Drosophila melanogaster: one gene and its partner. Changing the gene in region 1 together with any one later gene gives a genetic interaction. Each region holds a gene or a part of one and is shown in the gene's direction. Other genes may lie near its edges. The genes, in order: Arr1 and Culd.

The links.
Region 2: of Arr1 (region 1) and Culd, changing one suppresses a phenotype caused by changing the other (phenotypic suppression), as found in Drosophila melanogaster (one study listed by BioGRID).

The regions. Positions count from the first base shown.
Region 1 is NT_033779.5:18,076,348-18,082,076, forward strand, and holds Arr1 (arrestin 1), read left to right. Parts: upstream 1-1,921; 5' UTR 1,922-2,040; coding exon 2,041-2,149; intron 2,150-2,301; exon of another isoform or gene 2,302-2,383; coding exon of another isoform or gene 2,384-2,450; intron 2,451-2,568; coding exon 2,569-3,376; intron 3,377-3,609; coding exon 3,610-3,739; intron 3,740-3,799; coding exon 3,800-3,847; 3' UTR 3,848-4,960; downstream 4,961-5,729. Other genes in the region: ninaD (neither inactivation nor afterpotential D), read left to right, coding at 5,318-5,446, 5,506-5,729. UniProt on the Drosophila melanogaster protein: Regulates photoreceptor cell deactivation. Arr1 and Arr2 proteins are mediators of rhodopsin inactivation and are essential for the termination of the phototransduction cascade.
Region 2 is NT_037436.4:8,351,770-8,358,289, reverse strand, and holds Culd (CUB and LDLa domain), read left to right. Parts: upstream 1-1,993; 5' UTR 1,994-2,081; coding exon 2,082-2,285; intron 2,286-2,347; coding exon 2,348-2,678; coding exon of another isoform or gene 2,679-2,689; exon of another isoform or gene 2,690-2,741; coding exon 2,742-3,146; intron 3,147-3,679; coding exon 3,680-4,048; exon of another isoform or gene 4,049-4,106; coding exon 4,107-4,811; coding exon of another isoform or gene 4,812-4,852; exon of another isoform or gene 4,853-4,863; coding exon of another isoform or gene 4,864-4,877; coding exon 4,878-5,761; 3' UTR 5,762-5,935; downstream 5,936-6,520. Other genes in the region: Idh (isocitrate dehydrogenase), read left to right, coding at 218-274, 355-1,635; GAPcenA (GTPase activating protein and centrosome-associated), read right to left, coding at 6,356-6,520.

The DNA.
Region 1 (5,729 bases):
GTTTTAAGCTTATCGTTTTTCTTTGCAGTCTGATTGTGGCCAAAAGTCTGGCTCCAGTTGGCCGTCGATTTTGCCAAACGACAATTGCACTGCATTCGGTGCCTGTTCTGGGCTCTTGGCCAAACTCCGCAGTTTGGTCCATGGCAATCGCGCTGATTGTGCAATGCAATTTGGCCGTCGACTTTGTCTCGCCTTGGTTAGGCAATTGAATTGCCCAAATTAGCTCTCGAGTGGACTGAAAGAGAAGAATGGTGGCAAACTGCTTCCGTGGCTTTTTAAATCGCTCCTGCTTTAAGGGGAATCCGGAAATTGTAGAAGTCTGAAGAGGTACTCTCGAAAATGGGTCAATACCACCCACAGCTAGCTCAATTGCGCACAAATAATAAAGTCAACCTTTTGTGGTCGTTTGCAATTTTATTGTATTGCTATAATCTGCCATATAAAGGATGGTTCAACAGACCACATATGAATTTGAGATGGTGATGGGTTTTCAAAGTATCCGTGTGATAAAAACAAAGCTTAAATAGTTTTTGCTTTAAACGCGTTGCACTTTAAAGAAGTCCTTAGAAGGTCAGCCATGCACTCAATAATATAGCTTTGCATTGTATTTCTAGAAAAAATGTCCTCTTTTAAGACAAGTGCTCATATTTCTGATATGAGTTTAGACCTATAGACGGATTGAATGTAAAAACTCTGAACGCTTTTCTAACAGAATCTTAAGAACACCTCATTTAGTAACATATTGCCATTTTTCAGGACAACACCGTGGCCATGCCTCCCGGAAAGTTCACTTGTAATGTATTTAAATGAGAGACATGCCCATAACCAGCGCCGTTTTCCTACTGGCCCACACGTCGTGAGTGCAAAAGTTTTGCTATTATTAAGGGCCTCATTGTCGGTTTTGTTGGACCCTTGGCGACTGTCCGCCGACACTTTCCCGCACTTTCCCGCCACATTTTCACACACGAAAAGGGGGGATGTAGTTGGTGGAAAACTCCGCCCCACTTGCTCGACTGTCCGGTCCCCAACCACACAATAAAGAACAATATATTTCACACAACTTTGTTCATATTTTTAATGTCAGGAGTATAATTATTACGTTCATTGACTTTGTTAAGTAGCCTACTTTATGCTAATGTGATTTCATAGCACAAAATGGAAATGGCAAATGGTGAGAGGGCCAGCAGCTTTGCATAGAATATTTTTACATAATTGAATGTGCAGGTCCTTCAACTGACAGTTACTGGTAAAGCTTAAGTTCTTATGTGTCATTATATATATACACATAACGTCTAGATTCGTTGGGAAAAATTGATTTAAATGTTTAATATAATTCAAAGAAGAATATTATTACATCTAGCTTGAAATGGGATCCTTCACCAATTATTTTGAAAATTCCGAAGCAAATACTTGGAATACTTGGAATTTATTAAGTACCTCGTTGTTATAACTAGTAGTTGTCTCCAGTTAACATAAAGCTATTATAAATGTCATAATAAACAACCGCTTATCAGTACTTAGCCGACGAGTGCTTAGGGCTCAATTAAATTAACAACAATTACGTAAATGGAAAAGAACAAAACCCACCACGTAATGTTTGGGTTTAAATACGTCATCCTAGGCGGAAAACAACAAACCAAAATACGCATACTAAATCGATTTCTCGAGCTATTTCTGTACATTCACCTGTCCTGCATTGCTAATACGCCGTGTTGCTCGCGCGTTATTTAATGTTTGAGCCATCGATGTCGATGTCGTGCTGCAATGTCAATATCAAAGACACTGCGCACAGCAAGGTTGCCGAAGCCGTAGTAGTTTACCGCCGTGCAATTGCTGAATTTCTGCTGTGCGGCTAATTGAATTTAGAGGGGCGACAGGTGCCACAATGCCAGGTATAAATGCCGGATTGCCAAAGAGCGCTAATTAATAGCCTAGTGGACCACGCAACGCGGCGTATACCATCGAGAACGAGCGCGAAACGTTAAAGGCACATCCAAAGTTTAAACTATTTCCGCAGAGATTTTGATAAACAGCTCCAAAATGGTGGTCAATTTCAAGGTGTTCAAGAAGTGTTCCCCGAACAACATGATCACGCTCTACATGAACAGGCGTGATTTTGTAGATTCCGTGACTCAGGTGGAACCCATTGGTAGGTGTCACAGACCGAAACCCTTGAGCAATGGGATTTACGAATGAGGAAATCCATCAAAAAATAAATTCGTGTAGGAATTGGTACCCATATTCGATTGAAGTATCTTATAGTTTGAAAATAACTTCAGTGTAACTTTTGTTTCAACTTAACACATTGGAATTTTTAATACCTTCCTTGAAAAGTGATATCAAATCAAAATTATATTATAAAAACTCCATTTCGAATCTGCATATGCCGACCAGCAAATATAAACTCAGGGAGTTATTCAAAATTGCATCTGAATTCAATAGCCCAGGGAGTTAAGTTAAATTGGCTGCGCTAGCAGCTAACCAAGTTCATCGATTACGCGAGCAAGCAAACCAAGAGGCTGGGCGCTTGTAAATAATATTCTCCAATTAATAAGCGTCCTCTTGCAGATGGAATCATTGTGCTGGACGATGAGTACGTGCGCCAGAACCGCAAGATCTTCGTGCAGTTGGTCTGCAATTTCCGATATGGGCGCGAGGACGACGAGATGATCGGTCTGCGGTTCCAGAAGGAACTGACCCTGGTCTCGCAGCAGGTGTGCCCACCCCAGAAGCAGGACATCCAGTTGACCAAGATGCAGGAGCGTCTGCTGAAGAAGCTTGGCTCCAATGCCTATCCCTTCGTGATGCAGATGCCACCAAGCTCGCCGGCCTCGGTGGTTCTCCAGCAGAAGGCCAGTGACGAGAGCCAGCCCTGCGGAGTCCAGTACTTCGTAAAGATCTTTACCGGAGACAGCGACTGCGATCGATCGCATCGCAGGAGCACCATTAACCTGGGCATCCGCAAGGTGCAGTACGCACCGACCAAGCAGGGCATCCAGCCCTGCACCGTCGTTCGCAAGGACTTCCTTCTGTCGCCCGGAGAGCTCGAACTGGAGGTCACCCTCGACAAGCAGCTGTACCATCACGGCGAGAAGATCTCGGTGAACATCTGCGTGCGCAACAACTCCAACAAGGTGGTGAAGAAGATCAAGGCCATGGTGCAGCAGGGCGTCGATGTGGTCCTGTTCCAGAACGGTCAGTTCCGCAACACGATCGCCTTCATGGAGACGAGCGAGGGATGTCCCCTGAACCCGGGATCCAGCCTGCAGAAGGTCATGTATCTGGTGCCCACCCTGGTGGCCAATTGCGACCGCGCAGGCATCGCCGTTGAGGGTGATATCAAGCGCAAAGACACAGCTCTGGCCTCGACCACACTGTGAGTAAAATTTATTCACATCATAGCTTAGCAGATGAAACATTAATATTATACTCTATTAAGTATCAACTTAAAATCATACCATAAAATCAATCAAATTTTAAAGTTAGGAACCTTTTTAAAAATCGTATTTTCCCGGTGACTAACAGTTCTTTAGCTAAATGTGTTTACAAAATGGCATAAAACGCATACTAATACTAAGTGAAAAATGCATATTTAAAATTCTATTTCAGTATTGCCAGTCAGGATGCGAGGGATGCCTTTGGCATAATTGTTTCATATGCTGTGAAGGTCAAGCTTTTCTTGGGAGCCCTGGGCGGCGAGCTCTGCGCTGAGCTACCATTTATTCTGATGCACCCGAAGGTAATAAAAGGTGTGCCCAAATATTTGAATAGTTATTGAAAGGCAATCAATTATTTACAGCCAAGTCGCAAGGCCCAACTGGAAGCCGAGGGCTCCATTGAGGCCTAAACTGAAAGGGCTACCTCAACCAACGAAAAAAATGGCGTATTTCTACAAGTCAAACCGATTTTTGTAGATCCTAAAAAATGCTGATGTTGCTGAAATGTTCTGAACTGCAGTCGTCGTACTTTTCCTATATAGCAAATCCAATATCCATATATTGTATGTGTGTATGTGTATTATATTTATAACTCAACTAACAATTAAATATGAACAGAGTTTATGTATGTATTTTGGAGTATTCTATTGAATTTAGCACGGTGTATTTGAAAAGGCTCCAGCATTGAAAGTTTGTATGGAATGCGCACTAAATATTTAATAATGTGCTTACGAAGGCATTTCGTAGTATTTGATATCTTGCAATGTCTGCTGATTATGTACATTGAAGTGCAATGGGGAAATCAACAGAAGCCAGTGCAATCTATTCAATTACTAATAGTGGGTCTTGCATTTGTGGCTTAGTAATTCCAATTATTGCTACTCTGAAAAGCCGAGGAGCAGCCTAATTAATACTTGGCCACTATGCTGGAGGAAGTTTACTGAACTGAATTCGAGTAAGGAAAATGGACAATAATTGATATAATATGGTGAGCTTCTTGCTGGACTTTGAAATCGTAAAATTTAAGCGAACACACTTCAAACGCATCCATTTAATTTGTGAATGTTTGCAGTCCCACTTTTAATAAGCACCCAATATTAACGATAACGCCACTCTAATCAAAATTTTCCAATAGTCAGGGTTGAAATACTGATCAATCACGCTGCCAACATTTCGGCAGACCAGGTGGGTAATGAGTTTAAAATGGTTTTGCGTAATGGGATTAATCGAATTTCATTAAGGAAGATTAGATTGCCGTCTTTGGAAGTGATCTTTTATAGTGGCTGACCATAAAAATTGCATTGCAAATACTAATTTAAGCATACATGCTATATAACCGATAAGATGGGCGAGCGTCAAGGCAAAAATAGTTGACCGTATTAATAGTTTAATCAACTAGCTTCAAGTTAATTTATAATGCGAATTAGGAAGCACTCTGGCATGCTATTAAAAACTTAAGAACTGATAAACGAAACTTAATTCCTAAAATAAAAATGTACCTAATTACTTTTATATACTATTATAAATAAAATTGTACCATGTATCGTTAAATTTGATTTAGTTACCAAGTGGTATTTGGTACGTGGCAGCATGAAATAGCTACTACTGCTAGTCTGGCTGATTAGCCAGCACTCTCAATAAACTAAGTGCAGCGTTTTGCATTTATCAGGATTTTTGGTACTCTAAACACACACTTAGATCCCAATCACCCCACAGAATAAGTTGAGCAAACCAAACCGAGCTGATTACCACAGTAGACATGATGATTAGCCGCTGCTTTATTTACTAGTGGATAATCTACTAAGCGACGCATGAATAAAAACTCGAGCGATATTTTTCCACTTTGCAGTCGCTCGAAAGCCTTTGTTTCGTCTCTCAATATGTGCTGCAGCTGCTGTGGGGTGACCCAACAAAAGGCCTGGGTCTTCGGCCTGGGAACCTTTTTCGCGGTCTCCGGACTCCTGGCCATAATATGCTGGCCTGGCTTTATAGACTCAGGGATTATGAAGGTGAGAGGCGGTGTATAAAAATAAAATTAAGGAGGAGTACTAATCGATTTATTAAAAAGGCCTTGCCGTTGACACCCACTTCAAAGACTTTTGAAAAATGGGAGGAGCTGCCCATTCCGGTGTATGTCTACATGTATCTTTGGAACTGGACAAATGCCGCAGATGTGCAGGCTAATGGAGTAAAACCTATTTTCGCGCAACTTGGACCCTATGTTTATCGAGAGGAGAGGAAGAAGATGGATCTTGAGTGGCACGACAATGGCACAGTTACCTTTAACCCCAG
Region 2 (6,520 bases), on another chromosome or scaffold:
TTTAGGCAAGTACCTTAATAATTACGTCGTCACGACGAAATATTAAATATTACAAAGTAAAGATAAGGGATTACTTTTGAAACACGGTGTATTTTAATTTCCATCCATCAATATCGACCCACCCTATCCCAGGCTGATCAAAGTTTACTTTGCTTTGACCAGTTGTCAGTTTATTATCGTCATACATATAAGTTTCGCCTGTATCGCCTGTGCTTAGGACCCCAAAACCCATAAGATATCCATGGATAATGAAAGGATGTCCGCCGTGAGCGAGGTGAATACCCCAATACCGCAGCATTCAGACACAAATCCATTTTTCATGTAGCTAATAAGATTCCCATCCTGCCCTTCAAGCACTCAAGTGTGGTATGCTCTCCCGAACAGATGGCCCAGAAGATCAAAGCCGGTCCCGTTGTGGATGTCCTCGGTGACGAGATGACCCGCATCATTTGGGACTCCATTAAGAGCCAACTGATTCTGCCCTTCCTGGACATTGAGCTGCATACCTACGATCTTGGTATTGAGAACCGCGATAAAACCGAGGACCAGGTCACCATTGACTGTGCTGAGGCCATCAAGAAGTACAACGTGGGCATCAAGTGCGCCACAATCACTCCCGACGAGAAGCGCGTAGAGGAGTTCAACCTGAAGAAGATGTGGAAGTCGCCCAACGGTACCATCCGTAACATCTTGGGAGGAACCGTCTTCCGTGAGGCAATCATCTGCAAGAACGTGCCCCGTCTGGTGACTGGCTGGCAGAAGCCTATTGTGATCGGTCGCCATGCCCACGCCGATCAGTACAAGGCCGTCGACTACGTGGTTCCCGGACCCGGCAAGCTGACCCTCACCTGGAAGGGAACCGACGGTCAGGTGATCGATGAGGTCATTAATGACTTCAAGGGCCCCGGTATTGCCCTGGGAATGTTCAACACGGACGATTCCATTGTGGACTTTGCCCACGCCTCTTTCAAATATGCTCTGGACCGCAAGCTGCCGCTGTACATGAGCACCAAGAACACCATTCTGAAGAAGTACGATGGACGCTTCAAGGACATATTCGAGGACCTGTACAACAAGCAGTACAAGAAGGAGTACGAGGCGGCGGGCATCTGGTATGAACACCGTCTCATCGACGATATGGTTGCTTATGCCATGAAGTCGGAGGGTGGCTTCGTGTGGGCCTGCAAGAACTACGACGGTGATGTGCAGTCGGACTCCGTTGCCCAGGGCTACGGATCTCTGGGTCTGATGACCTCCGTGCTGCTATGCCCCGATGGCAAGACCGTGGAGGCTGAAGCCGCTCACGGAACGGTGACGCGTCACTTCCGCTTCTACCAGCAGGGCAAGGAGACCTCCACCAACCCCATTGCCTCGATATTCGCCTGGACCCGTGGCCTGCTGCATCGTGCCAAGCTGGACAACAATGAGCCACTGAAGCAGTTCGCCGACACCCTTGAGCAGGTGTGCATCGACACAATTGAGAGCGGCGCCATGACCAAGGATCTGGCCATCTGCATTAAAGGCAACATCAACGCCGTTACTCGCAGGGACTACCAGGAGACTTTTGAGTTCATTAACACGCTGGCCAAGAACCTGGAGGGTGCCCTGGCCAAGAATGCCGTTGCTGCCAAATGACTATCCGGCACTCAGTCCGAGCAGCAGGCCTCGCATCTCTAGAAAACTACTCAGCGATGCCTTGTCCTCGTCACCATATTCACAATATTTCCATTCGTTTTTGTAGATGTGCATGTCCTAGGCTAAAAATCCGTGTCCTCGATGCATGTTTCCCACTGTTTCATTGTCTCTGCGAGACGCAAAAAAAAACCCTGATTTCCCTTTAACGTCTAACGGAAAAGAAATTTCAAATAAATGTATTTTTATACCGGACTCGAGAGGTCTTTAACCCAGTCGAGGGTGGGCTCGTTACGAGGCCCGGTCCACTTGTGCGGCTTCTGATGGCTCTGGGTTTATTGGATTTGCCAGCGAAATGGCCACAGTTGTGTTCTAACACTTGGCGGCACCAGACCGAGACGGTTCAAGCGGAAGGGGCTCAGGATCCTGTTAGAAGGACGAAACTATCGATGCTAGCCGAAGCATTGGGCTATGGCTACCTGCTGGCCTACGTGATCTGCCTGCTCTGCTGGCCAGGAGAGGCGTATCCCGCCAGCAGTAGCTACCGGGATCTGGATATATGCAATCATTGGGACGGAAGACGTCACTTCCTGGAACTGGGAAGTCCAGCTGGAGAGGTGCACGCCAGGAATGTGACTACTACTGCCTATAGAGTAAGTGTATTTACAAGCTTCTCCAGACGGGATTTGGTCAGCAATTATGAACTTAAAAACAGAGCTCGCCGCTGGTTTTTAAGAACGATGCAGTGGCCGGGGATGTGTGGTACCAGTGCAGCCTGGAGCTGGTCACCTGTGCCGAGTGCGTCATCCGAGTGGCCTTCACCTATGCCAACTTCTCCAAAAGTTGCGGCAATACGGGTGGCAAGTCCAGCATGTGTCCCTGCGAGCATATCCAGTTCTCGGAGCCGCCCTATGATTCCACCATTTCCGGCCAAGAGTTCTGTGGAGATGGCAAGGTGTTTCGGAGCAAAACCAGGACACTGCAGTTGAAATTCTTCTACAGAGCCAGCAATGCGCACGTGTTCTCCCTTCAATACTTCTCGGAACGTAAGATTTAGAATCAGTTGGTAGGTTTTTAAGAATGCTCTATCCGGATTTCCCTCGGAATAGGCAACGTGCGGATAGTCAGTGGCTCCCCCAAGCAGTCTATTGTGGGCAATGGGAGTACAAAGTCCCAGCCACAAGTGATCTCCACGCCGTATTTCCCGATGGCATATCCACGCGACTATGGTATCGAACACATCCTCACCTGCGAGGCGGACAACTGCCAGGTGCGTTTGGATTTTACCGACTTCCAGCTGGGCCTCACCTCCACCCTAGAGATCTTCGACTCCAATGGCCAGATGCTGGACTCCTATACGGGTGAGCACTTCCGTCCGCCGATCACGGTGAGCAGCGGCAAGTCTCTGCTCCTGCAGTTTCGAGGAAATTCCGCCACCGGAGTGGGTTTTCGCGCGGAGGTTAGCTTCGTATCCTCCAAGCAGCTCAAGGACGAGCGACTGGTGCCCTACACAGGTAAGTGAATGGGTTGCAGTGCACTGAACAAAAACTAAGACTATCAAACAACTCAGATCTAAGGTTAAAACACAAATATTCCGCAGGATTAAAAAATTCGAGGTTTTTAAAAGTATAGAACATTATGCTTATCTTCATTTTAGAACTCGCAGATTGATTAACTTTTTAAATGGATTAGTATATCTTTTCTCTGTAGGAATAGGGACATTTTAATGATTTTCGGATTAGTCGAGCACTTGAAAGTCTGCAGGCAATTGTCATATTGATTTTGGCGAAGGTAGTGGGTGGGGTGGGCACTTGGCGAATATCAATGTCAATGCAAGGCGTTGAAGTGGAAACTGGGTGACTCTGGTTGGGTTCGGTTTGGTAAGACAATCGATTTCTTGGATCATTGCCCGTAGGGTGGTTGGCAAATACTTGTATATAATCCGGAATGGGGTTGGTTATGCACTATTGCGACAGGTTGGATCACAATGCATGATGCAAGAGCACATAAATAAATGCTTATGTACATATCTCTATTACACCTCTAGATTGCGGGGGAATGGTTACCGGACCTGGTGGCGCCATCACCATGATGAACATGATCGAAAATGCCACGGACGTGCGGCTGTTTGACTGCATCTGGATTATAAAGCCCGGCAACAACTACATGATGATGAAAACCCACATCTCGTTGAGAGTGGATGACTTCTACGGCATGGCCGCCAGATCTGAGCTCACAATACGGCAGGGCACCACCTCGGATGCCGTGGAGATCGAGAATGTGATGTGGCCGAACAATGGGCTGAGCAAGGAGAGTCATGTGGCGCCCATCCTCAATGGCTACTACATTCGACTGCGTGGGGTATTCGGGATGTCCTCCAAGCTGGCCATCGTCTACAGCGTGTTCAACTACTTGAGTGAGTTCGATTGGAAAATTTAAATTTAATGTTTAATTAACCAATTCGAATTGCTTAGATTGCTATATTGGCTCGGAGTTTCTGTGCGGGAACAATCACTGCATATCCATTCGCCTCCACTGCGATGGCTTCGACCATTGTGGGGATGGCAGCGATGAGCCGGATTCCTGCGAGGAGGACTGGGCACACCTGCATCACGATCGTCGCTGGTACTCTCACAAGCCCAACTATTATTTCCCCAAGATAGACCAGTATCCAGATCTTAAGACGGCCACGGGAATCTTTATCATCAGCACACTTGGCATATTTGGTGTGCTGTCCGGCTGGATGGTGATCCTGTACAGGATGGGGGTTAGAGCACGACACCAACGTGAGCTTCAAAGCCACCTGCAGACGATCAGTGAGCTGTTGGATCGCCAGGACGAGGATCGCACGCCCGATGAGCCACCCAGCTACGAGGCACCACCCGATTACGAGGAGGTCATCAAGGTAGGAATGCAACAGGAGCTACGGGAGCCACGTCGCCAGAGACGGGCCCGTCGAGCTCCGCCTAGAGATCGGAGCTGCAGTCGCGCCGCAAGCAATTGCACCGTGCAATCGGTACTCCCACTGCATCGCAGCTGCACCCTGGAAAGGGATCAAGAACAGCCCAGTACCTCGGCGGCGGCAATGACCCATGCGGTGGCTGCCACGGATACAACGGAGGATGCCGAACACGTCCAGACGATGGCCCAGCGAATGCTCCTCGCCACGGCTATTTGTGGTAGGTCGAGAGTTCCCCCAATCCCGCCCTGCAGTCGCTAACTTACCCACAGAGTCCCACTTGCAGGCACTGCAGGCACGTCTCTCCCGGCAGCAAAGGAGTCAGGGCAGCGGGTCCAATCCGTGGGGATTTCAACGAGCCCGTCATCGTTATCCGCTGGGGGTGAACTACCCACAGCAGGTGGGTCAGCCACAACGCCCGGCAGCACGGCAGATGAGTGCACCCAGGGAGGCGACTCACTTAGCATTTCACTCACTCTAGGCTTGCCCTCCACCACGGCAGAGAGTCCTGTGACAACCGACCAGAACCAATTGCAGAAACAAAGTCCGGAGCAGACAATCAGCAATTGCACGGAGCACACCTTCCTAAAGAGATCGTGGTTGGTGGTGCAACAGGTTCCACCTGGCAGGGGTTACCGTGTCCGGAGGCTGCGACATACCTTCTCCTCTCCTGAAGCATTCACTAGCGATGAGCTGCATCTGCCGTACCCGGATTTCCTGAGCTACGGCACTAATCTTCCACATGAACGGAGCAGTAGTAATTTCGGATCCGAGTTGTCGAGGGACCCATCGAGTTATAGTGTGGGCAAACGAGCTCGCTTGACGCCCGAGGACACAAGTGGATCGGAGACCATTACCCAGGAGATGGAGCAATCCAACCAGACACTCCAGTCCCATGTGATAGTGGAAAGTCACCCGAATCACAGCGAAAGTGAGAGCGAAGCGGAGCAGCAGGTGTCCTGCTTTGGAGCCGTAGCCCAGCGGCCCAAGAGGCGTCATCGGGGTCATGTGAGGAGCCGATCCTTTAGCAATGCCAGAGGTGGCAGTGCCGGAAGGAGGCGTCTCATGCAGCGCAGCTCGTCGGCCGATCTTTTGATGAACTACGCGACAATGGCGGTATCGACGCCACAAAAAACGAGCGAGGCAATGCAGCGATTGTTCTTCATCTGAGCGGGAGATTCAAAATGGAAGAGTGGACAAGTGGAACGATAGTATTAAAGCCTGGTGTGATTCTGGTCGGATTCTAGTCACATATAAATAAATAAGCCTGTTTCTTACTCGAATGTTATTAGCTTATTGAAATTCTTAATAAATAATTAACTTCAACTTCATCAAGACTTATCCAAAAGGTCGCAACGTTTGTATTCTTTATAATATGTACCATACCGCAAAAAGAAATGAATAATTACATTATGAATTAGCATTTTTTGTTAATTTATTTATTTATAGCCGTTATACGTGTAGCATTTGCCAGAGCAGATCAATATGTGCCCCAGATCAGATCACAAAAAACAACAACGAACATCCATCGCCCAAGATTCACTTCAACCCACTAATTGATCCGGGGCACATCCTGACCAGCACTGACTTTCGGGTGCCTCAAAGTGCAAAATAATAAAAATCTATTACTCGCGTATATATGGAAATCAAAATGCACGTTTTTATATGTATATATAGACGAATATGATAAATAATACCAGACGTAGTCAATGCCGTAGGTCTGCCTGCTATCCAGATCCTCCTACGTTGTAGCTGTATCGTTTCCTACTGCTGCAGCTGTTGCTTGAGATTCTCGGCTAGCGTTTTGCCAGTGTCCAGGGGCACTACTATATTGCGCAGACTATCGATGCTGTTGCGCAGCTTGGTGGCCTGGAATTTGCTGGGCAACTTCGGTGACCCTCCCACCGACGCAAATGCAAAGGTCTTGTA